Linked DNA regions of Styela clava. The protein of the gene in region 1 purifies or fractionates together with the protein of each later gene. This does not show direct contact. Links are inferred from orthologs where the notes say so. Each region holds a gene or a part of one and is shown on either strand. Other genes may lie near its edges. The genes, in order: U6 snRNA-associated Sm-like protein LSm1 and protein PAT1 homolog 1-like.

Region 1 (11,182 bases):
CAATCCTATATTTGAGATTTTTTCCCTGTCCTTTTTAGGATGATAATTGTCCTTTATTTTTTCCAGCGTCGTTTTGCCCGATTATTCTTTTTTAATTATTCTTTTTAATTTCGCTTTGGTATGGCACAAATAGCAAATAGCCAAGAAATACCAATTTTATTAACAATTTCAAATATTTTACATTAATTTTCCGAAGATGGCAAGTGGCAACACTCCAAGATTTGAGTGAATTCTAGTTCAATAACTTTCTCCAAAATATCAGACACTTGTAAAAATAAAAATTGTAGAGCATTTGAAGCTAAAAAACAAACTTAATTTGAATATGTTTGACCTATTTGATGAAGTTGCACTCATTCAAAAAAAAATTTGACACGATTCAAAGCACTAAACTGTTCACAGAATGCAGCTTGATTGGATCAATGTTAAATAAACATTAAATGAAAAACAAATGAAAATTTTTTAATATATCTTTTTAGCTTGTATATAATTTGTATTTAATTGTTTTATATTGTTCTTTCCTGCAAGTTACAAAATAAATGATGATGGTAATCTATGTCCTTTATTGAGAATTTTCATAGTTGGCAACCCTAATTGCCGACCAAAACAAATTTCAATTACCGGCTTCCAATTCTTAGTCACTTATGTGTGCATGTTTGACAGAAATTAGGCGACCCCGGCAAATCTTCACGCAACCCCATCCGGGGTCGTGACCCACAGTTTGGGAGCCACTGCCCTAGTAAACCCCATACTGGAACCTATAGAAACCAGGTTATGGGTTAACGCAAGATTTTTCTCAAAAGATTATTGGATTTAACATAAAGATTGACACTGTTTATTCTGAGAATCTCATTTAAACAAGAAATTTCTGAGGGAAGGACATCTTATAACATTCTCTGAATTCAAAGCCGTTTTTACGAGCTGATAACATTGCTTCATATATGGACCATTTATATATCTGTTGACTAGTTTATTAAAAGGGGTTCGCAAATATACGTGAAGGATCGAAAGAGTCCATAATTTTGCAAAGACAAGAAACCGAAAATTGTCATCCGATTCTTAATGCCATTGTTATGAAATGTAAAACTTAATGGTTATTGAAAAGTATCTTATTTAAAATAAAATACGAAAGGTTCATAATTAATACAATTTCCTAGATTAATTTTCTCTATCAAAGATCAAATACAATCTATGCTCGAGTCTGTCCATCTGATGCAATTTTGGAAGGAAGTTATTTCTAAAACACCCAACAAAGGATTTACAAAAAGGCATCCAAGTAACATTTAATTCATTTATATTATTACCGTCTGTAAAATAAACTACCGTAAGAATCTATTATCATACCTCCCTCCTGAAGCAAGCTAACATCTCATGATCAGCACGGTTACATGCTCCAAAATATTGCTTGAACGGATGCTGAAAATAAAAATTTGAATATTGTCACTTCGTAAATAAATATTATGAACACCTTTCCTGTTATTCTTATTGGTTATCATTTTTTTCAACCAAAATTTTAAGCCATTAATGACCTCAATAAATGAATCACCAAATGGTCCTGTATTGTATTTATCACAAAATAATAGATACCTGTTTTCTGCACATCAAAAGAGCATAGATCTTTTCATTGCATTCTGGAGTATGAAGATGCGGGGAAAGATTTGGGTGCATTTTTATATAACAAATGAATAGTCTGAAACTTATCACCAAAAATTTTAGCTGGCAGTTCTTGGAAACTGATGTTCACGAAACGTCATAAATGAAAACAGAAAATACAATTTCCTAACAGTGAAAACTCCTTTTGCCGAATGTATACATGCAAAGTACAATGTCTAAACTCAGGTAAGTCTGATATGCATATTTTGTTAAGAGTTGTCCTATAGCATAAAATATTTATTAACCAGACAAAAATACTGGCCACACATTTTTACTTCCACATTAACAGCCTTGTTTCCAATCTTCAAATACTATCATACACCACAGATATATATAAATATGATATACAATGCGGAAAACATATGTTTTGCCATTTGCTTGATGAGAAAGTCTCCAGTTCTCAGAAAATATTTTCACATATCTGTTAACTGCTTCTCAAGAGCTTTGCTTTGAGTGTAGGTGTGAAAACAACTCATTGCTTAAAAGAGCAAACTGCAATCTAGATACAATTCTTATTTTTCCAATAACATGTCTGGGTTGTAGGTATGATATATTGTATGCATACAATTCGACTGTCAAAATCAAATACAAACATAAACTATGGAGTAAATGAGTGAACACCAATTTTAAAACGAATGAATTGATGTAAAATTATACTAAATATGACCTTAATAAACTTCAAGTGAATATGGAATTTATTAATTTGTAGTGTTAACAATAACCTATCATTCATTCATGATATGGCTCGGCCAATATTTATCTTCAAAATATGAATCTTCTTGCAAAATCAAACTATCAAGAACACCCCTATGAGTTGCGAGCCACTCATTTTCAACTAATTTAAAAATATCCAACGTGGCAGTTGCATCTTCTACAGAACAATGGCGATTGTGTTGTATTTTTCGATCGAGCAACTGTTTTGCAAAAAATTTCAAAGAAGATCTATTTAAACATAATGAGTATTTTTCTCTGTATTGGTCGATTAATTTTCTTGCAGAACCATAACCAATATCAATTGTATGTTGTTTCGGATGACTCATCTCTAAAGCAGTGAGATCGTTATGAATACTATGTCCAACAACAAGTTTCCCTTCAATGGCTTTTTTAACTTGTTTCTGTGCTTCTAGGAAGGTAACGCAAGTGTCACTATTCAGTAGTTTTTTAGTCATTCCACTATGAGGAGTTCGATAGTCAACGACTCTTAAAGTTTGCTTTACAAACAAATCAAGTACAGTTTGTCCATCGTAGTTAATAATTGAGCAACGAGCCAGTGAATTAGTGACACCTTGACATTCAACCATTTCACAATCAAGTGCAACAAGTATATTTGACAAAGATGAATTTTTTCTATCACTTTGCTCTGGTTTTGCTAAGATCCTGCAGTTCGCAAGAGCAAGGTTTGAGCTTTGAATTGACAAGAGTCTCAATCGTTTCGATGCAAAATAAGAAGTTGGTTCAGTCAAAATTCTTTTTTCACATTGTTTTTCCCTTTCGATGGATGATCTTCTGAAGGCACTGCTTTTAAATCGTTTAATTTTATCAGGAGTTCTGCCTTTTCGTTTTCTTAAAATTCCTTCTTTCCATGAGTTGTTATTTGACAAATTTGCCATATTCTTAGTTCCCAGTGTACTCCAAACTATACCAGAAGCAAATTTACGAAACATGAAGTCGGGGTGACATTAATATTTTGATGAAATTTGACCAAATACAAATAGATTGTGAGAGGTAGCTCTCATCCACACAGTATGAAGATTTACAGTATTTAAAATATTCAATTGAGCTGTTATAGAATGTTTGAGATTATTCACTATAAATATAATACAGTAATAGAATAGGAATTTTATATTTGTCCCATGGATATTGAGGGAAGCCGATAAGATAGCCTTATCATATGACAAACCCCGGCCCTAATGGTGGAGGGAGCTGCAATCCACCAACTATGCCTAAATCACCCTGCAATGGCATGCGTCCAGCAATTCTCTTATACCCAACTACACCCTACAAGATTTGAATTTGTGAACCCACACAAGGTAATCCAGTAATTAGAGGTATGATCTAATAAGGTACTTGCAATGTGCCAACCGCTCATCAAAAACATAGATTGTGACAAGAGGAAAATCCATTCTGAGGTAGGATATAATAAATATCGTCTTTTCTTCTGAAACCAACCGGTAATTGGAAAAATCATCACGGTATTGCATAATCTTGATTATAAGTATAAGTTTATTTTGACTCAATAATCAGCAGTAGACCTAAAATAATTGATAAAAACAAAATATAAAACACTGATTATAGAATCGAGAAAGCAAACGAAACCTCAAGTAAGATTTGAAGCATACAGATTTTAGATGGGAAGGTATTAATAAAAGAAGTAGTACCGTACATGTTCACTCACCCAAAAGTATTAAAACTAATTAAGGCACGCACGCACATACAAGCATCGGGTCTAGTATAGTTTAGTACCACAAGTACTTCCAGTTGGCGTATCATAACGAATTTTGCATATGTTATGCCCAACCCCCACCTGACTATGCCATCCAAAAATTACGTCACCATCATGCAGTCATGTCATAGGGCAGTAGGGCTTGCCAAAGTATGATTACGATCGTCCGAAATGGCATCTGCGCCGCCGATAACGAACTCGCTAAAGCCGGCAATCTCTCTCCTATCGTGATAATTGTGACAAGAAAACGGAGGCGCAGTTCTTACCACTTCATGGCAGCTCCTGCCACGAACGTACCACGCCGTCTCCTGCCATGGTTTTATGGCGCTATTACCGGTATATTTACAAATTTAGGTACCATATTTTAGTTTATCATGCGAAATTATATCTACTTAAACTCTAACCCTAACCCCAAATCCATCCAAACTGTATCCATAAGAAAAACATTCCAACTCACCAAATATTTATCACCATCAGCAGATTAGGGGCAGCCCTGCTATTACAGCCGACCTGCCGTGGTTACGGCAGTAAAATTGGTGGTATTCGATTTGCTGCCGTAACCACGGCAGCTCGCTATTGGTTTGTGGCAGCTAAAAAGTCAGTCGCCGTGGGTTTGGTCTTAGTGGCCGTGGTTTGGAAATCCCGCCATGGTTTTGCGGCAGCTGTAGACGCCACAAAATACTTGAAACTGCACTTGAGAAAACGAGAGAAATAGCTTGCTCGATTTCGGGTGATCGTCTGCGCGCTTTGGACGACCATTCGCATACTTTGGTGGGCCTTATTACCGTACGCCACTGTGACGTCGAAATGATGTAATTTTTGGGTGACATAGTCAGGTGAAGGTCGGAAGTGAAAAAAGCGAGACTTGTCATAAAATTTTACTTCAGGACAGTATGGTACTGCAGTAGGACAATGTTCATACCGGCAGTTAGAAAAAATAGGTACCGGTACCGGTAGCCTACAATACCTACGCTACTGTACCGGTACCGGTACGGTATATCCCATTTTCTTCCTCCTCGGGATGCTCTGTATCTGCATATAAGTCTAGTACTTATGACCTCTAGCATTTCTAAACCCCTGCGCACACCGGTAATTATATGCCAGAGGACTGCTAGACTGACGACTGAGCTCTCCGACACCGTCGGTGGTTATAAGCATGGTTGTAAAGGTGACCGTACATTTGAACCCATGCGTATACCCGCGGGTTCAATCTATATCCGGATGCTAAAACCCATGGGTTAGGGTTAGCATGGGTTCAAATATATGTAAAACAAAAAAAAATTTCATAGGTGCAATAATATGCAGGTGCAAAGCGTGGGTTCAAATGTACGGGAACCGGTTGTAAAATGTAAAGGATAGTATTCACATATTTTCATACAGAGAAGTAGACCGATGAGACGGTGAATCTATGTCGGGTAGGGACCGGTCAGCCAGAAATAATTTAATGATCAATCAGCACTCAGTGCGGTCTTCCGAGCAGTTTTATTTTAGATGCAGCAATCCAAAATCAGTCACGAAAAAGCTGCGATAGTTGGATAGACTGGGCTAAAATTGAAAAAAAGCACCTGGTTAAATTGTTTGAAATGGGAGATTGTTTGAAGTTCGTTCATATATAATCGTCCCAAATACGATATTGAAGAAAATTAGATAGTCTGTTTTTCGACATTTGTGGTTTCAATTGGTTAGCAATACCATTTAATTGATTTTAAGTCTCCTTTTTTCACTTCCGACAGTTTCATGTCTCGATGATTGTGTGTGTGGGTGCGTTCCCCTAATTAATTTTTTTTCTTTTGGGTGAGCGAAAACGTACTACTTCTTTTATCAATACCTTTCCATCTAAAATCTGTAAGTTTCAAACCTTACTCAAAGTTTTGTTCACTCTCCCGATTCTATAATCAGTTATTTTTGTTTTCATCTATTTTTTATCGCTTATTTTGCTGATTATGGAGTCGAAATAAACTTATTCTTATACCATTGGGTACGAGGGTACCATAATTATCTAATGTCCTTTCCAGTGCTTTTACTAGTCATAATTTGTCTAGTCTTAATTGTAGTAATTGCCAATTATTGTGATACATTGTTGTTATACAAGTGTTGAAGATGTTTATACCGCTATATTTATATCGTGGGTATTTTGTAGTTGTACTAGGTGTACCCGAAGAGGTATTAATATTTATTTATTTGGCTCAGCAGTGTGGCGCATCGTGCTAAGCGTTAGGAATACGCTCGCCACCGCATCTCTGATTACCCTTCGTGAATTCGCAGGTTCGAATCCCATGCGGGGATGATCATGTGTGAATGCTAGACTCCCCACCGCCGTAGGGTGGTTCACGTAACCACTGGTCGGTTACGGCTTCCGCCACCATCAAGTTCATGCTTCTGAAAACAAATAACTGGCTAACTAATCCCATACCCGACCTGGACCGGTAACCCTACGAGAGGCCGTGATTCGCCATATGACTAAGCTGTTTTATTGGCTTTCCTCTCCCCTGGGATAAATATGTAAATCCTTCCTTCATTCCTATAAGATGCCTATTTGTGACTGCTGTCAGCAGGTTCATTTTTAAGTGTCATTTCTGTATTTTCAGGGAAATCTGTTGTATGCTGGTATTGTGAACAGTATTAAAAATCTAATATCTGATGCAGGCATATTAGTGTAATTATGGATTATATGCCTGGAACAGCAAGCTTGATTGAAGAAATTGATAAAAAACAACTTGTGGTTTTGCGAGATGGTCGAACTCTTATTGGGATATTACGAAGCATTGATCAGTTTGCTAACTTGGTAATTCACCGGACTATTGAGCGAATACATGTCGGTAAAAAATATGGTGATATACCAAGAGGAATATTTGTTGTCCGAGGTGAAAATGTTGTTCTCCTTGGAGAAGTAGATGGAGAAATGGACAATGAAAGTGACTTGAACCTTGAAAAAGTGTCTGTTGAAGAAATATTGCAAGCACAGCGTAAACAACAAGAAGAGCATATGGAAGAGAAAAAAGCAAAATTGAAAGCAATGAAAGAAAGAGGACTCTCTTCGAATGTTGAACAGCAGGATGATGCATTTTAAGCGCAGCAGATATTTAACAAACTATAATATCTTGTCAATCATGATTGTGTTTGTGTGCGTAACATATAGCTATTGCTCAGATGAAAATTATGTGTGAAGGTCCAAACATGCTGGAAATGAAATTTCGTTACTTTTTAGTAGTCTTTTTATTTATAAATATTCTCTTCTTTCAAAGATATTACAGTAGAATTTTAATCACAATGTAAATGGAAGCAACATTTTCAAGTTTGGAAGAGTTTCAATATGGTTTTCATAATCAAGCTTACATGCCAACTCGTTAAAGCGGCTGTACCCTCACTGCTAACGCAAAAAGTCCTTTTTATAACTGCCTTCCAATCAGGATGTTTTTCCTCACAAATTCGAGCACTTGGGATGACAAATCAATGCCATGGGGGCAAAATGTTTTATGATAGTTTTAGACGCACTAAGGAGTCTGGTGAGAGAGCAAAAGCAAAGTTGTTTTCGAATCTTGCTCGTAGATTGGAAATCGCAATAAGAGGTAAAAAATGATTGTACTATAACATGTCATAGCACTCATAGGTTTTCAGATTTCCATTCTATTCCTCACTGGCTAATTCTAGTAAACCGCGTTGGCAATGCAGGTTATGCATTTCGTGTTCAAATCCCATTCCAACGACCAAACCAGTGTAAAATCAATTCGAAAGGTAATGTTAAACCGGTAGGATCCTGGTATATCAGCTCCTTGGATATAAGTGTTGCTTGTACTTGCCTTGTTCAGAGCGAAAAGCTTAAACAAGGAGATAAACAAATACTCTTGCGTAATATGCAGACCTGATGATAATGAAATTAAGCTAATCCCATGTTTTTCAGAGGGAGGGGGCAATGATCCAAAAAAAAATAAGCAGTTGGCTGCTGCAATACAAGAATGTAAAAAGGCAAATATGATGAAGTCAAGTATAGATAAAGCTCTATCAGCGAGACAGGCAAGTGATACATTACCGCATCATGGGATATTTATTTATATCATTTTATTTATACATATACTTTTTTATAGGCAAGTGAAGAATTTTCTTTTGCGCTCAGTGGCCCAGGCCATTCAACATATCTTATTATCTGCGGATCAACTGCGAAGCATAATGCAAAGCTTGCAATGTTGTCTGCAATAAAGATGTTACCGCAATTGTAAGTTTTGTTCTTCGAATGGATTTAACCCTTCTATGCCATGTACCCTGTTCATTTTCTTCAAGCTTTCTAACAATATTACACATAAGAATGACTCAAATACTGTTGTTAAATTGAAGTCGAAACTGATGACTTTTCAAATACATCTCCATTGCATGGAAGCATAACTCGTATCACAATCGATTGGCAAAAATAACAGTTTGTGCCGGGATTGTAAAGCACGATTTAGATGAAAGTTAATCTCTACTTTTATTTACTTTAAATGCTGCATTCTTTTGGAGCTCTATTTTCCCAATAAAAGTAAAAGAACTATTTTTCAGTTCATTGGTTTCCGACTCTCAAATACAGTTCGACCGGAAAAGGATTATTATCACAGACATTGGACATATTAAAGATAATGAAATTACCGAAGAAAAAGCAACAGAAATTGCTATAGAGATTGGAGCAGAGGATGTGGAAATTGTGAGTGATGACCAAGGCAGTCTATTAAAGGTATTGAAAAGATCACAATGATGTTTGTTGCAAGTAGTTGTTTTGAAGTAGGTATAAATGCTACAGTAAATACAACTAAAACAATGCGATACCAGGTTTGTTTACGATGCGCCAATTTGCAAGGCTACATTAAATTCGTGATCTTAGAAATTAATTTCATTAACATGAAAATAGAGATATAATATATTGTGTTCTTTTTGACTTTACTATTCTGCAATATTCGATTTTGGCTATACCTGATTTATATTGTAATTTGCCCCGACAAGACTCTCTGAATTACTTGGATAATTCCCTTATTATATTAAACAACAACCCTTCACTTATCCCTTTCATAGATACATCTTTGCACATATAAATACTATATTGCATAAAATTCAACAATTTGTTTCAGTTCACATGCAACGAGTCTGGGCATAAAACGGTTGAAGAAGCAATTGAAACAGATCTAAATGAATTGATAATATTTCAATCCAAAACTGAATATGTGCCAAATTCATACATCGACTTAGAGGATCGAGATTTGACAACTGCAAAACTATTTTATCAAACACTAACCAAATTGGATGCTAGAATACCACAGAAGTTTGAATTTATAGATATGTTTCATAATGTAAATGGTCTCACCACCACTTCTCATATTTAACATTATCACTGTGAAGCCCTAAATTTTCTAATTTAACTACTGTTGCATCGATAAAACCAGGTGGACCACATATATAACACAGTGGACTCTTTTGAAAGGAATTCACCGTTCTTTGTAAATGATCTTGTGATATTCGTCCATAATGAATAGGAATTTCATCTTCTATTTGCTGTAATTTATTTTCTTGAGTGACAAATAGTTCATATTCTGTGTTAGGTGTTACTCTGCAGATGTGTTGAATTTCATCCTGCAAAAAAATGGGTACTCCCTAGTATGTGTGCCATGTTAGGGTTAGGCAATAATTTTATTCCGATTTTCCTTGTTTTAGTTCTATTAACGAGTTCGGGGACTGTCTGTATTAACCAAATGAACATACCACCTGCCCATACTAATCAGTCCCTTTACACAACTAAAGTAGGCGAACAAAGTTAGTTACCTTCGTATTGGTACATACACTTCTTGAGCGCCAAAAATTGTGATCTTCTGCTACATTATATGTTTCAATTCATATACGGTGTTGCAATTAATAGAATTGGAGAGTTTTTCCATTATGGAATACTGGAAAAATTGTCTTATTTGCAGTCAAGTACTTAGTAATCAGACGGAATTAATATCATGAAAGTCTAACCTTAAATAGTAGTTCCTCTGCTGTCCTTGCACAGTATAGCAGCATTGTTGAGATTTTATTATCGGAGTACCTTTGAGGATCTTGTCTGAGAAAAGCACTGAAATATACCAATTTATTTAATTAACATGATTTTAATTATTAGGAAATATCAGGTACAAAACAGAGTCTATGTATGTGTAATAACTGGTTTATCTGTACCAGGTTAGGGTTATGCCATAATTTCATTCCGATTTTCCTTATTTTAGTTCCAATACGAGTCCGGGGGACTGTCTGTGTTAGCCTAGAGAATATACCCCCTGCCCATAGGCTTCAGTCCCTTTACACAACTTGATGTAAAGTGGGCGAACAAAATTAGGTATCTCCATATTGGTACACACACTTCTGTAGCGCCGTGTTTTGATATACGATTCAGCCAGCTAATCCATTTAAGCAAATGAATTTTAAACACAAACCTGCTAAACCAGCAAATATGTAAGAACCTGTTACCAAATACTGATTAACTCTTATCAAGACACCTACCTTCTTTCTCTTAAAATTGAGTAGATGGGGTTGATTCCGACTCCTGCTGATATTAACAGTAAATGTTCATCTCTTTCGGCCACTGGATCATGATAGAAATCCCCACCAAAGCACAAAATGACAGTTGAACCTACATGACACTATTGATAGAAAAGGTTTTGTTACGGATGGAGTTGAAATGGTCAAACCAACAAAGTTCAAATCTCAATTTCTTCGCCTACCTGTTCATGTATCCATTTTGCAGGAGGATGATCAGAATATTTGACAGCAAATTCCAATATACCATGTTGTTCTAGATCATTTGGACAGCTGCAAATTGAAAATCCCCCAACTGTGGAAATTCCTGGTATAGTCATGTCAACCCATTGTCCAGCCTGGAAATCAAGATATCGTGTAGCAAGTTAAATCCCTATTGCAGAAGAATATATCAATGAAAATAATTCGACAAAAAACAATCGTTTTTATTATTTAAGTAGGTGTGGCCAAGTGATTAAATGGCTAGTCTATGGATCAAATCCCACACACATCACCACAACCAGGGTGTTGTGAATTATGTAAGCAGTGACAAACAGAAATATTCTAATACAATCTGAA
Region 2 (13,239 bases), on another chromosome or scaffold:
TGGGATCTTTACAGTGTTGCATTGAGAAGTATTTTGAAAATCGCCGCTGCAGAAGTGTGTGTATCAATATGGAGAGAACTAATTTTGTTTGCCATTTTTACATCAAGTTGTGTAAAGGGACTGAAACCTATGGGCAGGAGATATATTAACTTGGCTAACGCAGACAGTCCCGGAACTCGTAACAGAACTAAAATAAAGGAAATTGGAATAAAATTATGGCCTAACCCTAACCTGGTACACACACTGGGGGGGTACCGCAAAATTTTTCTGAAAAAATTCACATTGCATTATCTATATTTGGATAGATACGAAAACTGATAGGAAAGATTAGACAGGAAAACTGATAACATAACTTTCAAAACTGATAACATCCCAACTTCTCATTCGATTACCAGTTGGGGCTATAGCTTACCTATAGACTGTGTACACAGAGTCAAAGTATCTCAAGAAATTATCTTTACTAAGAAAAAAATGTTCGTTGGTAGTACCAGTATGTAATTTTAAACTTCAAGGCCGGTCAATTTTTACACACTTGAACTCAGATATATATTCAGAAATTGGTGAAATAACTATCTACTAGCCATTTTCTTTATGCATTTGCAATAATCAGCTCTTTGTCAGATGGAAGTCACAGAATTGTATATGTAGAAGTGTATCGACAAGGATTCTAACTATTGCAAAACAGAAATACTGAGAAAAATATACGAACCTGAGCAACTAGAGGATTCATTGGTGGTCTGTTAATCATTCCATGAGGAGGCCACAACCGAGGTGGTCCCATGCCTGGTGGTGGAGGTACTGCTCTTCCTGGAGGAACCATAAAACCTTGAGGTCTTTGAAGAAGAGGGAAGCCAGGATGTGGTCCTCCGAGCCCCTTTATAAAAATAAAAATGTATGAATTTGAAATCAAAATTTTGTAATGTGCTGTTAGTATTAGGGACATATGTGAATCCATCCGCAAACCTTTTTAAAAGAACGACTCTGACACACTTACAGTTGACAGAATTTTTTTTAACGGACTCAGCCCCAAGAAAAATGAACTGAATTAACAGAAGATTTTGCGTATTTTCAATTGTTAGATATAGCGTAGTTGGCTAATGCCTTTAAGTTTCTGCATAGAATTTTGGGTGCTCCAGAAGTATGCGCACCAAGATGTCGCACAACGTGAATCCTGACCGGTACACACATACTATGTTCAGGTTGTGCGCCATCTTGGTGCGCATACTTCTGGAGGTCCGAATTTTGATATTGATTACCATCAATATTAAAAGTCTGAAATTCAGTAACGTACAAATTCAAAATTTCGACTCCAGCTGAAATTAGTTTGACCATACGACTCCAGCTCTAATATCAATTCAAACATGCCAAAAATGACCCCACAGCTCAAGTATGCCTATATTATGTTAACTCACTAACCTGTTTGTGTGCTTGATGCATCATATCAGCTATATGTTTAGGTGGTGTTCCAATCGGCAAAGCATGTGATGTTGGGCTACCAATGATCGGAGATACTGATCTTGCAGGCAGTGATCTATCCATTCCATTATGATTCAGGTCATTGTCTTTAGGAATGCTAATACCAAATGTTGGAGATGGTCCCCTGCATGGAAAAATAACAAACATTAAATCCCAGAGATATAATTTAGCCTGTAGTGTTCTAGAAATAAATTAAAATATAGGTTAATCTTATCAATAACTGAGTAATAACACAATGGATTGTGCATAGTCAAATTGTTATTTCAAGGCAAGAAATAGCAGGAATTTGTAGTCACAGTAACATCAATCCTCTAGGAACAAGATATTATATCTCCTATATATACCTAAACACAACATGCCAGACAAACCTTATTCAGTTCTGTTATTAATTCCTAATCTGGTGTGCCATGCAAACACAAAATTGTTTCCACCCATACAGTGAATTAGAATGAGATTTGACATTTGTATCAGGTAAAAAAATTACGAGTTATTATAATTGCATGGTGATCAGCTAAAGGTATATCCCATTCCGTCAATATAATTCTATTTAAACTTACACATTTGCATCAAATTTTTTCATCCCAGTAAGTGGCAGAAAGGACGATCCAACATGTTTATTTTCAAAAATCATGATATAAATGAAAATCAATTTCACTGTAAATTACATTCTGCTTACCTCAGTTGACTACCCGAGAATTCCCTCTCCAAGTCCTCAGCTCTTAACATAGATTGTTTCTGAGCAAACATGTGACGAAGTAAATCTTCAGATTGCGACGTTATTGGCCAACTTTGTGGCATGGGATTTGCTTTTACAGCTGAAAGAATTGCTTCATCCTATAATATAAAATTAAACTACTAATAGCATTAAAAATAAAAAGTAATAATATCAGGATGATTTTAGACACAAAAACAAATGCCTAAATATTTTGCAAGTGTGCTATTTTATGGATAATTTTTTTATAGTAGTATCCAAACGCAAAGCTTAATAAATAGGCATTGAAAATTGAAAAATTTGAACGGCAATACGTTATTCATTTCTGCCCGAAACCCTTTCCTCAAGACAAAAAAATTCATACCACAGGAGCTTATTAACATTCCTAAGAATATAATACCATATCTGGTATGTCCTCAAAATTTCTTATTTTTATGCAAGCAAAATCAATTTTTCAGAAATTCAGAATTAAACAAAGGCATATCCAACATTAAAATGAACAAATGACAAGATAAAAAAAGCGAGCAAAAAACTTGCCTCAAATTCGGGTGACGTAGTTTTAGTCATCATTTTCTTCAACTTTTCATTCAACATTTGACGTTCCAATATCATGGATGGTGACTTTGTTAACGAGTCTTGAACCTCCAGATCAGTATTACTCCAGATATTACGCTGTAAAAATATTCAAATTTACAGATTTTTATATCCAAATTACTAGGCTATTTAAAAAAATTTTGGTAGAAATAGGGCGCTCCAGAAGTATGTGTATCAATATTGAGGTAACTAATTTTGTACGCCTATTTTACAGACGAAAGCCTATAGAAAGCGGGTATGTATATTCACTTGGCTAACACAAACAGTCCCCGAACTCGTAATAGAACTAAAATAAGGAAAGTCGAAATAAAATTATGGCCCAACCCTACACATATTAGGCGAGTCCCAGAAATAGACCAGTAATGTATGTGGTATGAGTATGTAGAACTTGTAAAGCGTATATCAACCTATACTTTAATTGCTATCATATGCGCCAAATTGATGATAACTATTCTTAAAAGAACTTGCAAAAGATTTTAATGAATTGCAACAAGTACCGGTACATTACACTGTTGCTAATGTGAAATATACAATAAATAACTCTCACCAATCCATCAGTTTGAAAGAGTGAAGCTGATGAAGATGAAGAATTTTGTGAAGAATATGTCGGAGTTATTCTACCAAAATTATTCCTTTCACCCATATATGGTGATATGAGACTGGAATAAGAATAGTATTATGTAAAAACAGAGTAATATGGCTTGATTAAACAAGTTTTATAATATCATTAATCAATGAAATACAGCAATTCATACCTCAAAGTTAAAACAAAATTTTGGTGAGAATCTAAAATATTTGTTAATAATTGAAGCTTCCAAAAAAAGGGACTATTGTCGTCGAAATTACATATTAGGGACGATAAAACATGATCCTAAAATTATTGTTTGTTGAATGCTAATAAAAATAGTTTAAATGATGAACATACCGGTAATTGTTATGGTATATTTAAAGTCAATAGGTTGAATAATTGAGGTTAATAAAAAGACGCAGAATTGGTAACTTATTCCGCTGCCAAATTTCTACAATAAACTCTTTAACTTACTCTTCTGTTAGTCTTGGATCATATGAACCCATTCGTGATTCTTTACGCAAGCTAACAATGGCAGGATCAATTGCATCTTGATCCTGGTCGCTGTTCAAGACCAGTTCTTCTACTGCAGCTGCGAGTTGTTGATTTGATAGTTCCAATTCATCTTCATCAAGATAATCTTCCATTCGCCCAACTGCACTAAGACTACTACCCCGTGAATTTTGTTCAACAAATTGATTATGTTCATCTTCCCAGTTATCATCTTCAAGAATATATTGGTAAGGTTTGAAAATACATACAATTTACTCTGAAGGCAGACTCAAAACAGACAGACATGTACAGACGCAAAAATGCATCATATGCCACTAGGCCATATCTAAAACTCCATGTGTGAGTCTGTGAGAGTAGGATAAAAAGACAGCTTGCAAAATAACGCCTTACTATATTACAAGTATTAATTGCTTTTAAAAAATAAAGATCTCACCAACAGCTCCAGATCCAAATGTTTCATCATTCAGAAGGTCAATATTTCTTCTCGAATCATCCTTACGAAACTGAATAATAAGTAGTTTGGTCAGTAACTAAAATCTGGTTATATGATGAGGTTAGAACATTCTGAAAACTTCTTTACCGCAACTGTTTTTTTACTTAAGTCTATTAATATATTAAGCAAACAAGTTTGGATTTTTCAAATATCTTCAGCTTAATTACATGGCAAAACATGGGTCTCTTGTATGAGTCCTATAAATTTTTGTGCCATTGCCTTGAGCCAATATTCCTATGACTATATGAAGTACAATCAATTGTTGAATACTGACTTCATTCAGCCGCAATACAGGATTAAGGGCCCTTTAATATAACTAAATTGTTCAGCAGTTTGCTTTGATATTTGTGGGGTTTTCTGTGGTCACTACTTCTAGATCTGTGCAAATTTTTATCCATGATATAAGACATCAAAAATTAGGGTCTAGTGTAGTAATAAGGCTCTTCAAACTATGCAAATTGTCATCCAAGACGCGCAGACGATCACCCGAAATCAAGCAAGATATTTCTCTCGTTTTCGCGTCGCAACAATCCCGATCAGTGAGAGATCGTTGTTGTTAGTGAGTTCTTTATCGTCGATGCAGATGCCATTTCGGGTGACCGTAGGTATACTTTGGCAAGCTCTATGACGTGATTGTGAAGTAATTTTGGATGGTGTAGTCAGGTGGGGGTTAGGATTGACATGTGCAAAAATCGTTTTGCTACGCCCACTAGAAGTACTTGAGGTACGAAACTACATGAGACTCAAAACTTAATTCATATAAATACAACCCATTCGACAAAATTTCAACTCCCCATTTTCCAGTTTTCAGATTTGGATAAAAAAGTTTTGATTGAATTCGAAATAACAAAATCCTAACTAAAGCATTTTAAAATTTGAACCTCTGACTAAAAAAAGTTAAGGACTTGGTATCCACTTGACAGTCAGATTGCTTCAGAAAAGTATAAAAAATACTGGAATACAACTGTCCAATACGGTACCAGTAAAACTATCACACATGACTTAAAGTCAATGAGCAGACTAAAAACGCACATTTTACCCACACATACATAATTCTATTTGATTAGAACATTTTTATATCTCACCTGAGATTTTGAAGCAAAGAAAAAGGGGTCGCTCATTTTTTCATTCACGCCAACTAACCCCTCTGCTTCCTTTATTTTGTATTCACACGTAACAATGTCTTTACTAAGTTATGTCCTGAAGCTCCATTTCAACATTCAAAGAGTGCTTTCACAAAAACCGGTAATGAAACCAGCTAAGTTACCGGTATAAAACGCAATATACGAAAACGCAGAGACACCTCCAACGTCCGTGACTGACAAATACTTATGGCATCTAGTGGCAAATTTGTAAAGGAACGGTATAGACTATAGAACATCAAAAACAAAAAAGAAAAGATCGTTTCGGATATGTAGTATACTTTTTAGTATGGACATCCACATTGTCTCCAAAATGTAAAGCGTGTAAAATGTAAAGCGAAAATATGAATGTCCTAAATCAAGTGACTTTTGTGTACGAGGATTACCACATGTGGAAAGCTTGGATATCCACGAACGTTCAAAAACTTATCACTTTGTTCTATTTCGGTTTTGAAATGTCGCCAAAAGAAGCTTCCGTTCTTATGGGCGAACATATATTCTTATTGGGGCGAAATGCGGAAGTTTACCGTCATCAACCATTTGGCAAGAACCGCACGAATTCAGTTTGTTCCGATGACAGACAATGCCCTGATTCATTCGACGTTGTACTTGGAATTTTATTATTATTCTCTCCACTCTCTTTTTCGTATGCTGCTATCGGACGCAGAATAAATGCGATTTTCATATTTATTTCTGTGAAAGAAGGGTCAATAGCGAACTACCCATGTCGATGAATAGAATAGATAACTACTTAATTATTCCAGGTTCGTAGACTTGAATATGGATGAAAGCGAATGATAAGAAGTCCACACGATGACGGAAACTTCGGGATACCATCTTACTAATATTGTCTCATATAGTTCTAACCAACGCAGGGCAATCAGGGTATCGACACTTGATGCCTAATTTCATTGTTGTACAATATTACGGCATCGCCAGAGATGGCGTTTTGCATATAGAAATGGCAGATTCCAGTTTCATCCTGGTCTGTAATTGTATTTTATCTTTCCGTAGACAAAAATTAAATGTCAGGACATTATGTATATACAGCGTGAAAACATCGTCATCTTCGAATAAGGCATAACTTTATTTATTCGGATACCAAGGAGCTCATATATATATATATATATATATATCAGCTCTCCTATCTTAACTATGTGATTCTAAATTGATATGCTTTTTTTTTTCTAATGTCCGCAATGTATTTTGTGTTTACTTAAGGGTTTGGTGTGGATTTGACTTGAACAATGTGTGTGATAGTGTGATATAATCAAACTTGGGCCTAGCCCACCTCTGGTCAATTTGGCATTCGATTCCAACCATAATCAGCTTGGCGATATCATTTTTAATAAATATTTTTATTTACAATATTCATATTCAATTTGGCAACTGTTGTAAAATTATCAATATGACGCGGCAATCAATTTTTATAAACTTTTTCCATTTATTATTTTATCTACAGTCTCCCGCGTAGGATATTTTCTACTTCCTCATAACCCTGAAGTTTTGTGTGCATACGTTTCTGTGAACTAATTTAACACTTTTAAACGAGAGAACACTTACTGCTTCTTGGGCAAAACCTTAACCTCGACCTAAATTACTGTTACGCTAATCACGGAGTCGAAATAAACTTATGTTCGACAATACTCGTACCCACTTTCAGCCTGTTGTTTACCAGCCATGGAGTCGTACGAAATGCATCGCACAAGCGAAGGTCCGCCGCTTTTTCAATTTCCCAGTTTCATGGCATTAAATAATATTCAAATTATACAACGCACTGCTAAAAAGCAGACACCTCTTATTCTATCAGATTGGCGCAATTATCTTTTCTAGTAACAAATTTCCGCGATTGTAAATTCGGTAAATGGATGTATTTTCCAGGTTGTGTGTGAGTTAGTTTACTAGCTCACTGTGCCAGATCCATCTGACACATATGGAAGTCGAAACAATTTTCAACTAACAAAAAGTGCAATTTCAGACGTCCAAAAGACAGTATTGAATTCTTTAAATGAAACTAAAATAATCTGGATCACCGACGTTCCCAGCGAACGAATGTAAAACGATTTATTTTTTTTAAATTTGGAGTCAGGCCTTGGTGGCAAGCTATCGTTATTCCATTGATCACCTTCAACTTGTGACATCTTCATACCAGTGTGAGGTTTTTCTAAACATATCACAAAAGAAACAACCAATATGTGCAAAATCCTAAAATTAACACCTCGCACAACGTAAAAAAATAATAAGCAAATTATAAAAAAACAGTGCAATACTAGTCGAGATCTAAACACTATTAATTATTTGATGAGACAGTGGTGTTTGATAAAAATATAATTATAAAGCAATATGATACTCTGCTATGATTTGAACTAAAAACAAAATCAAGAACACTAAAACGGTATTATTCTCTCTCCAGATCCCGTTGGTGAAAACTGATTCACTCTCGCCCACATAATGGCTTCATTGAGTGATATTACAGTTTTATGATCCTCCAACCAAAACACTGGTCCTCTTATTCTTTTGTTCGTTAAGGAGGAAATATTAACGTCAGAATGAGATGGCAAACCTGATCCAGCAACAATCGTTTCATTTGCAGGATCAATCACCATTGTCTCGACTTCTGCTCTATGGAGAATTTTTTCAACAGATTGCTCTCTTTCAACACCTTCCTTCTTCACCTGTTTTTGATTAAGTGAAGAAACATATTGTTTCCACTCAGCTAAATCTTGTCGTAGTTCTTGAGAATTGAACGGAAATGTATTATTGCTGCTGTTGGGCATCAATTCAATTCTTTCAGCCATTGCTATTGCATGTTCAAATAAGGGAGTGACAACAGAAAAGTATCCACTGTTGATAGCTTTCAATGCTCCCATATACGCTGATATTGCAAGTAAAATGTTCTTACTTAGACATTCATCTGGCTTTAAAAGAATTTTAGAGGATACAGAAAACACTGCTTCTAAACTTAGAACAGAAGGGGTTGACAATGTCCATGAACTTGACTTCAGCTCATTGCAAAGCAATTCCAAGCCAATTTTCAACCCAAGCTCAGGCGTGGAAGAGAGCAGGAAACAATACATTGATTCTATCTTTTGGCCGTCTTCTTGAAATTGTTTACCTTTTTGCTGAAAAATTATAGGGGATTCGAGTCCTGCATAGATATACAAATTTTCTCTATGGGCATCATCTCCATCATATCTTGCACATGATGCATGAATAGGACTCCACATTTGATGTAACACATTTCCCTCAGACAGTGGTATTTTTAAAATCTCAACCGCAAAAAAGTAGTGCTTTTCAGCTTCAAGTTTCCTTGAAAATAGAATTGAGGCTTCCACCAAATAACTGGAGGTGCTCTTGTTAGCAAATGCCTGCCCAACACATAATGCAAGAAGCAATTCATTTGCATTAATGAGACAATTCATAGCCCCAACAACATCATTGTTAGAAACTAAATAAGTTGCCGCCCGACATGGATCCCCATTTGAGTACTTCTTTTTCCACAGTTTTTCAATGCAAGAAGTCCTCAACCGTTTTAAATCATCACTATCAATAGTATCATCACTGGTTTCTTCACTCTTTGTATCACCATTTTGAAGAGATTTCGGAACAGGAGCATATGAAGGAGTGCGACACTCAATAGCACTTTGCACAACTACAAGAGCATCTTCATAATCTCCTGCTAAAATCAGATCGTGAATACATGCTTGACTATCACCTGTTGCAATTTGATAACTTAGCGCTTCCACATCATTTGATTTCTTGAGAATTTTAGCATATTGTTTTGCCAGAATTCTCCAGTATTCTATGGATACACCAGGTGCAAGTGACAAAGCAGTCTCCCATCGACCAAGAGTCTTCAGCAATTCACAGTGTCGCTGTAAATTTCCTAATTTGAGATGAATTTTAGAAGCTATTTCTAACGCAGCTTCTTGCTGTCGGTTTCCAGGAGAAGAGTGACTTGCTGTAGACAGCTCTATTTCTTGTGCTTCTGCAGCTTTGTATTTAGTTATATGGCTCGTATGCAATATTCCAGTTTTATACTGAGTAGAAAGTGAACCATCCTTTGTGCCCATGGAACAACAAGCAACATCCCAGAGATTTTCTAGGGAAGGTATAGCACAGAAGAGCTCTGAAAACCATCTATGTTTCAGAATAGGTTTCCTCTGTTTTTTCTTCAACTCTTGAACAATCTGTTTTGACATACTTCCAGCCAATTTTAATCCGGATTGACTTCCGAAACCTTCAGTGGCAGATGCTCGAATGTCATCAAGGGGATGACCCACAATAATTTTTGCAAACAGTAATGTTAAGGAAGAAGAAAGTGTCCATAAACGAACGGTGGAATCACGTGACGTAGAGGCTATAAGGAAAGGTGCTGAAACATGTGAAGCAAGACCATACACATCTGCACCATGATCAGTTACCACTTCTAAGCACTTCTGATTGCCTTCTCTAACATCCCATACACGTATTGTGCTGTCCCATGATCCAGATACCAAAAGATGAGGAATTTCATGATTCCAAGTCAAACCTCGAACTTTGGAAGTATGTCCAGACAAAACTCCTATACATGTAGAATCTCCATTATTGGCAATATTCCATATCCGAATTGTGCAATCATCTGACCCAGTACAAAGAATATCTTTCACAAGGGGGTGCCACCTGATGTTGAAGACCTTTTTTGTGTGACCCATTAATTCCATGGTACACGTTGTCGTTACATCGCTGGAAACGTTCCAGATCCTGACTATGCCATCTTCACATCCAGTTGCTAATATATTCTTATCAAAGAGATTCCAGTCACAGCCATAAACCGAGTCTGGATGTGGATATTTCTGTACATTTTTTCCATCAAGTCTACGAACAATACAATAGCTGTCTTCTGAACAGGATGCAATTCGATGAGAATCTCTCTGGTTCCAAGCAACACAAAAAACAGCTGCATATCCGTGTTCTGAAAACCTTTTTATTACCTTTCCTTTTGTAAAATCCCAAACAAAAGCACCATGACGTCGAGTACCACAAACAACACAGTTCAAATTATCCGGTGCCCAGGATAAAGAATATATCACACCTTCATTTCCCACAGATGTTTTGACTGCACTTAAGTCATTCACTGACCATATTTTTACTGTACCATCGAAAGAGGCCGTAGCTAGCATTCTTGGATCATCTGGTTTAAACTTGCAATCAAATATGGTCTCAATATGTCCTTGATCTTTACAGAATTTCCATTTCCTCTTTTGCAAGTCATACAGACCAACTCCACCATCACGAAATGTACATACAACATGAGCAGGAGGTACAGAATGAGAAGAAACTTGCGACTGCGAACTCTTTCTTTGCATCGAATTTGGCTGTAAATTTTCATCATAGAATTTGTCATCTTGTGTAACATCAAGCACATGAATTCCATTGAAGCCTGTGCCTTTTACTTTGAAATTTTCGAGCGGCTGATCCTGGCCAACCGTCCAAAGCCTTAGTGTTCCAGTTTCTTTGTCTCCAGTTAAGAACATACCTGGAGCTGAGTTGATCCATGAGAAGCAACAAGTGGAAACAGCCCTACTTGGTAAAAAGAAATTTGAAATTACTGAACCACTATTTGTATCAATAAGGCGGATGCCAGTTAATTTATTTGCCACGAGGAGATAATCATTGGATAATGGATCCCAGCTTAATACAACTACAGGATCCTCAGTTTCATCATTGTCAGCAGACTTCAAAATTCTCCTCTTCCCTTGGATAATAAGTGAAATACTGCCATCATGATGTCCAAATGCAATTGTCTTCTGCTTTGTATGATGCCATCGAAACATAGTTACTTTACCTCCACCAGAACAAGTTATATTTTTTACTGCAGAAACTTTACCAGTACTTATATTCCATGATTCTAACTGTCCACCGACACCAATGTAAGAAATTGTTTGTGGGTCAGGCTGCCCGTTGATCCAATCAATACAATAAGATACTACCTTCACATTTGGAAGTTGTGCGATTACTTTTTGTTTTGAGACATCCCAGATTACTATTTTCAAGTCAGCACCAAATGTTGCAATTAAATTAGGGCATCTTGAATTCCATGCAATAGAAGATATTGTCTTTGTATGTTCTGCGTTGATAGCTGTTAACTTATACTCCTGACTGGAAGAAGAGGTTTCATATATGTAGACTGCCATTGTGGAACAGTATGCAAATTTTGACATTGTACCTACAATCATATTTGAGAACCAAGGTTGACATCCTGCAGGTAGAAGTCCTATTTGACGCATCATATTTAAGTCTCAATTAATCTCGATTGATTTCCCAAGAAATTACAACTTAGAAATCGGATCATATGAAATCATTCAATTATCACAAAGATTCAAGTATGATCATAGTTATTATCGAATGTTTATCATTAATATAAGGAGAAATTAATACTAAATGATAAAAAAAAATATTATGGTAACATTTTAAATTTGAAACAATAGTAATTAGTTAAATGAGTTTTCTAGGTCAGTTAATATAGAAATTTGTTAATGCTCCAAAGTGCATCAGCTGATACCACATGTGAAAGTTGACCAGCTGCTTCTCTTGCTTTTATAAAATACTGATCAGTTTTTAAATATACCTATATGATATACAATGAAGTTTGATGAATTGATGTTGCATTTTACTCTAGGGTGAATGTGCGTAGGCAACCTTACTATGTGTAGAAATTATGCTTCTCGAACTATACTAGAAAGAAAATCTTCCCTAAAAATACTTGTCTAATTATGATTACACATAACTGAATCTTGTGTTAACCACTGTGAACACAATTAGCTGTGCTGCATGTACGCATATTATGCTGATCTTTATCGGGATGAAATCAATACCATGCTTCTAGCAGACCGATAAAATCGCTACAAGGGTTAAAAAAAGAGCATTAGCTTTAATATTCTTCACCATATATATCAGCATTATACATTAACTATTCAATAATTCATGAAAGTAAAATGGTATGAATAATGAAGGTCACAACACTATATGTCTTCTCTTTTGTCAAAACTTATTGAAGTCCATGATGAAGTCTATCACTATGAAGGAGAAATTTGTCTGGATTATGAAACATAATATACCTTTTATATTCCAAATTCTTTGACATTGTATGAGATAACTCTGATGGTAATATTATTATTATAGTCACAACACACAATACACCTTTTTTGTGGATTAATAGATATCAATGTCTATAATATAATACAGATGTCAGCATAGATATTTGAAATCATAAATACAGGGTTTCATGAAGTCCCTTTACAATTTCAATGTTGTTTTTTAATCAGTAATTGTTAAAGTATTTTTACTTTATTCAATACATCTGTGGAGGCCAAAACAATATACGGTATCGATATATTCCTTTTGCAATTAAAAAATTTAAAAGACTTTATGGACCACCTATCCTATATATCAATTGGTAATGGCTATTGTTTAGAAATCGCTGCTATAAGTAGAGGTAGAAAAAAAAATTGGCACAAGTAAAATGAATACGCTCAACTAGAATAAAAACATTTCCCTCCATATAGAAATATGAACTCCTGCTAAAATTAACTGTATGTCACATTTTTAATCAAACGTTTGCAATGATTATACTGTAAAATATGAAATAGAGGATGAATATGAGCTTAAAAAATTAGATGAATATACATCTGAAAAAATTAGATATGGGCATTTTAACACCAATAGTGTTAGCTGTGATTAAGGTATGTGATTAAATCCA

The links.
Region 2: the proteins of U6 snRNA-associated Sm-like protein LSm1 (region 1) and protein PAT1 homolog 1-like purify together in Homo sapiens (co-immunoprecipitation; 3 studies listed by BioGRID and IntAct, with this or other methods). This does not show direct contact. The link is inferred for Styela clava from reciprocal best matches to the Homo sapiens genes LSM1 and PATL1.

What each region holds. Positions count from the first base shown.
Region 1 is NC_135262.1:4,894,369-4,905,550, forward strand, and holds U6 snRNA-associated Sm-like protein LSm1, read left to right. Parts: upstream 1-6,655; 5' UTR 6,656-6,755; coding exon 6,756-7,163; 3' UTR 7,164-7,339; downstream 7,340-11,182. Other genes in the region: COX assembly mitochondrial protein 2 homolog, read right to left, coding at 1,342-1,413, 1,585-1,665; translational activator of cytochrome c oxidase 1-like, read left to right, coding at 7,407-7,662, 7,995-8,107, 8,179-8,306, 8,627-8,798, 9,190-9,441; oxidoreductase NAD-binding domain-containing protein 1-like, read right to left, coding at 9,419-9,688, 10,070-10,166, 10,589-10,728, 10,810-10,962. UniProt on the Homo sapiens protein: Plays a role in the degradation of histone mRNAs, the only eukaryotic mRNAs that are not polyadenylated. Probably also part of an LSm subunits-containing complex involved in the general process of mRNA degradation.
Region 2 is NC_135258.1:12,737,925-12,751,163, forward strand, and holds the start of protein PAT1 homolog 1-like, read right to left. Parts: upstream 5,709-13,239; 5' UTR 5,478-5,708; coding exon 5,442-5,477; intron 4,367-5,441; coding exon 4,297-4,366; intron 4,075-4,296; coding exon 3,825-4,074; intron 3,442-3,824; coding exon 3,330-3,441; intron 2,861-3,329; coding exon 2,726-2,860; intron 2,311-2,725; coding exon 2,153-2,310; intron 1,601-2,152; coding exon 1,417-1,600; intron 875-1,416; coding exon 710-874; intron 1-709. Other genes in the region: WD repeat-containing protein 17-like, read right to left, coding at 7,886-11,770. UniProt on the Homo sapiens protein: RNA-binding protein involved in deadenylation-dependent decapping of mRNAs, leading to the degradation of mRNAs. Acts as a scaffold protein that connects deadenylation and decapping machinery.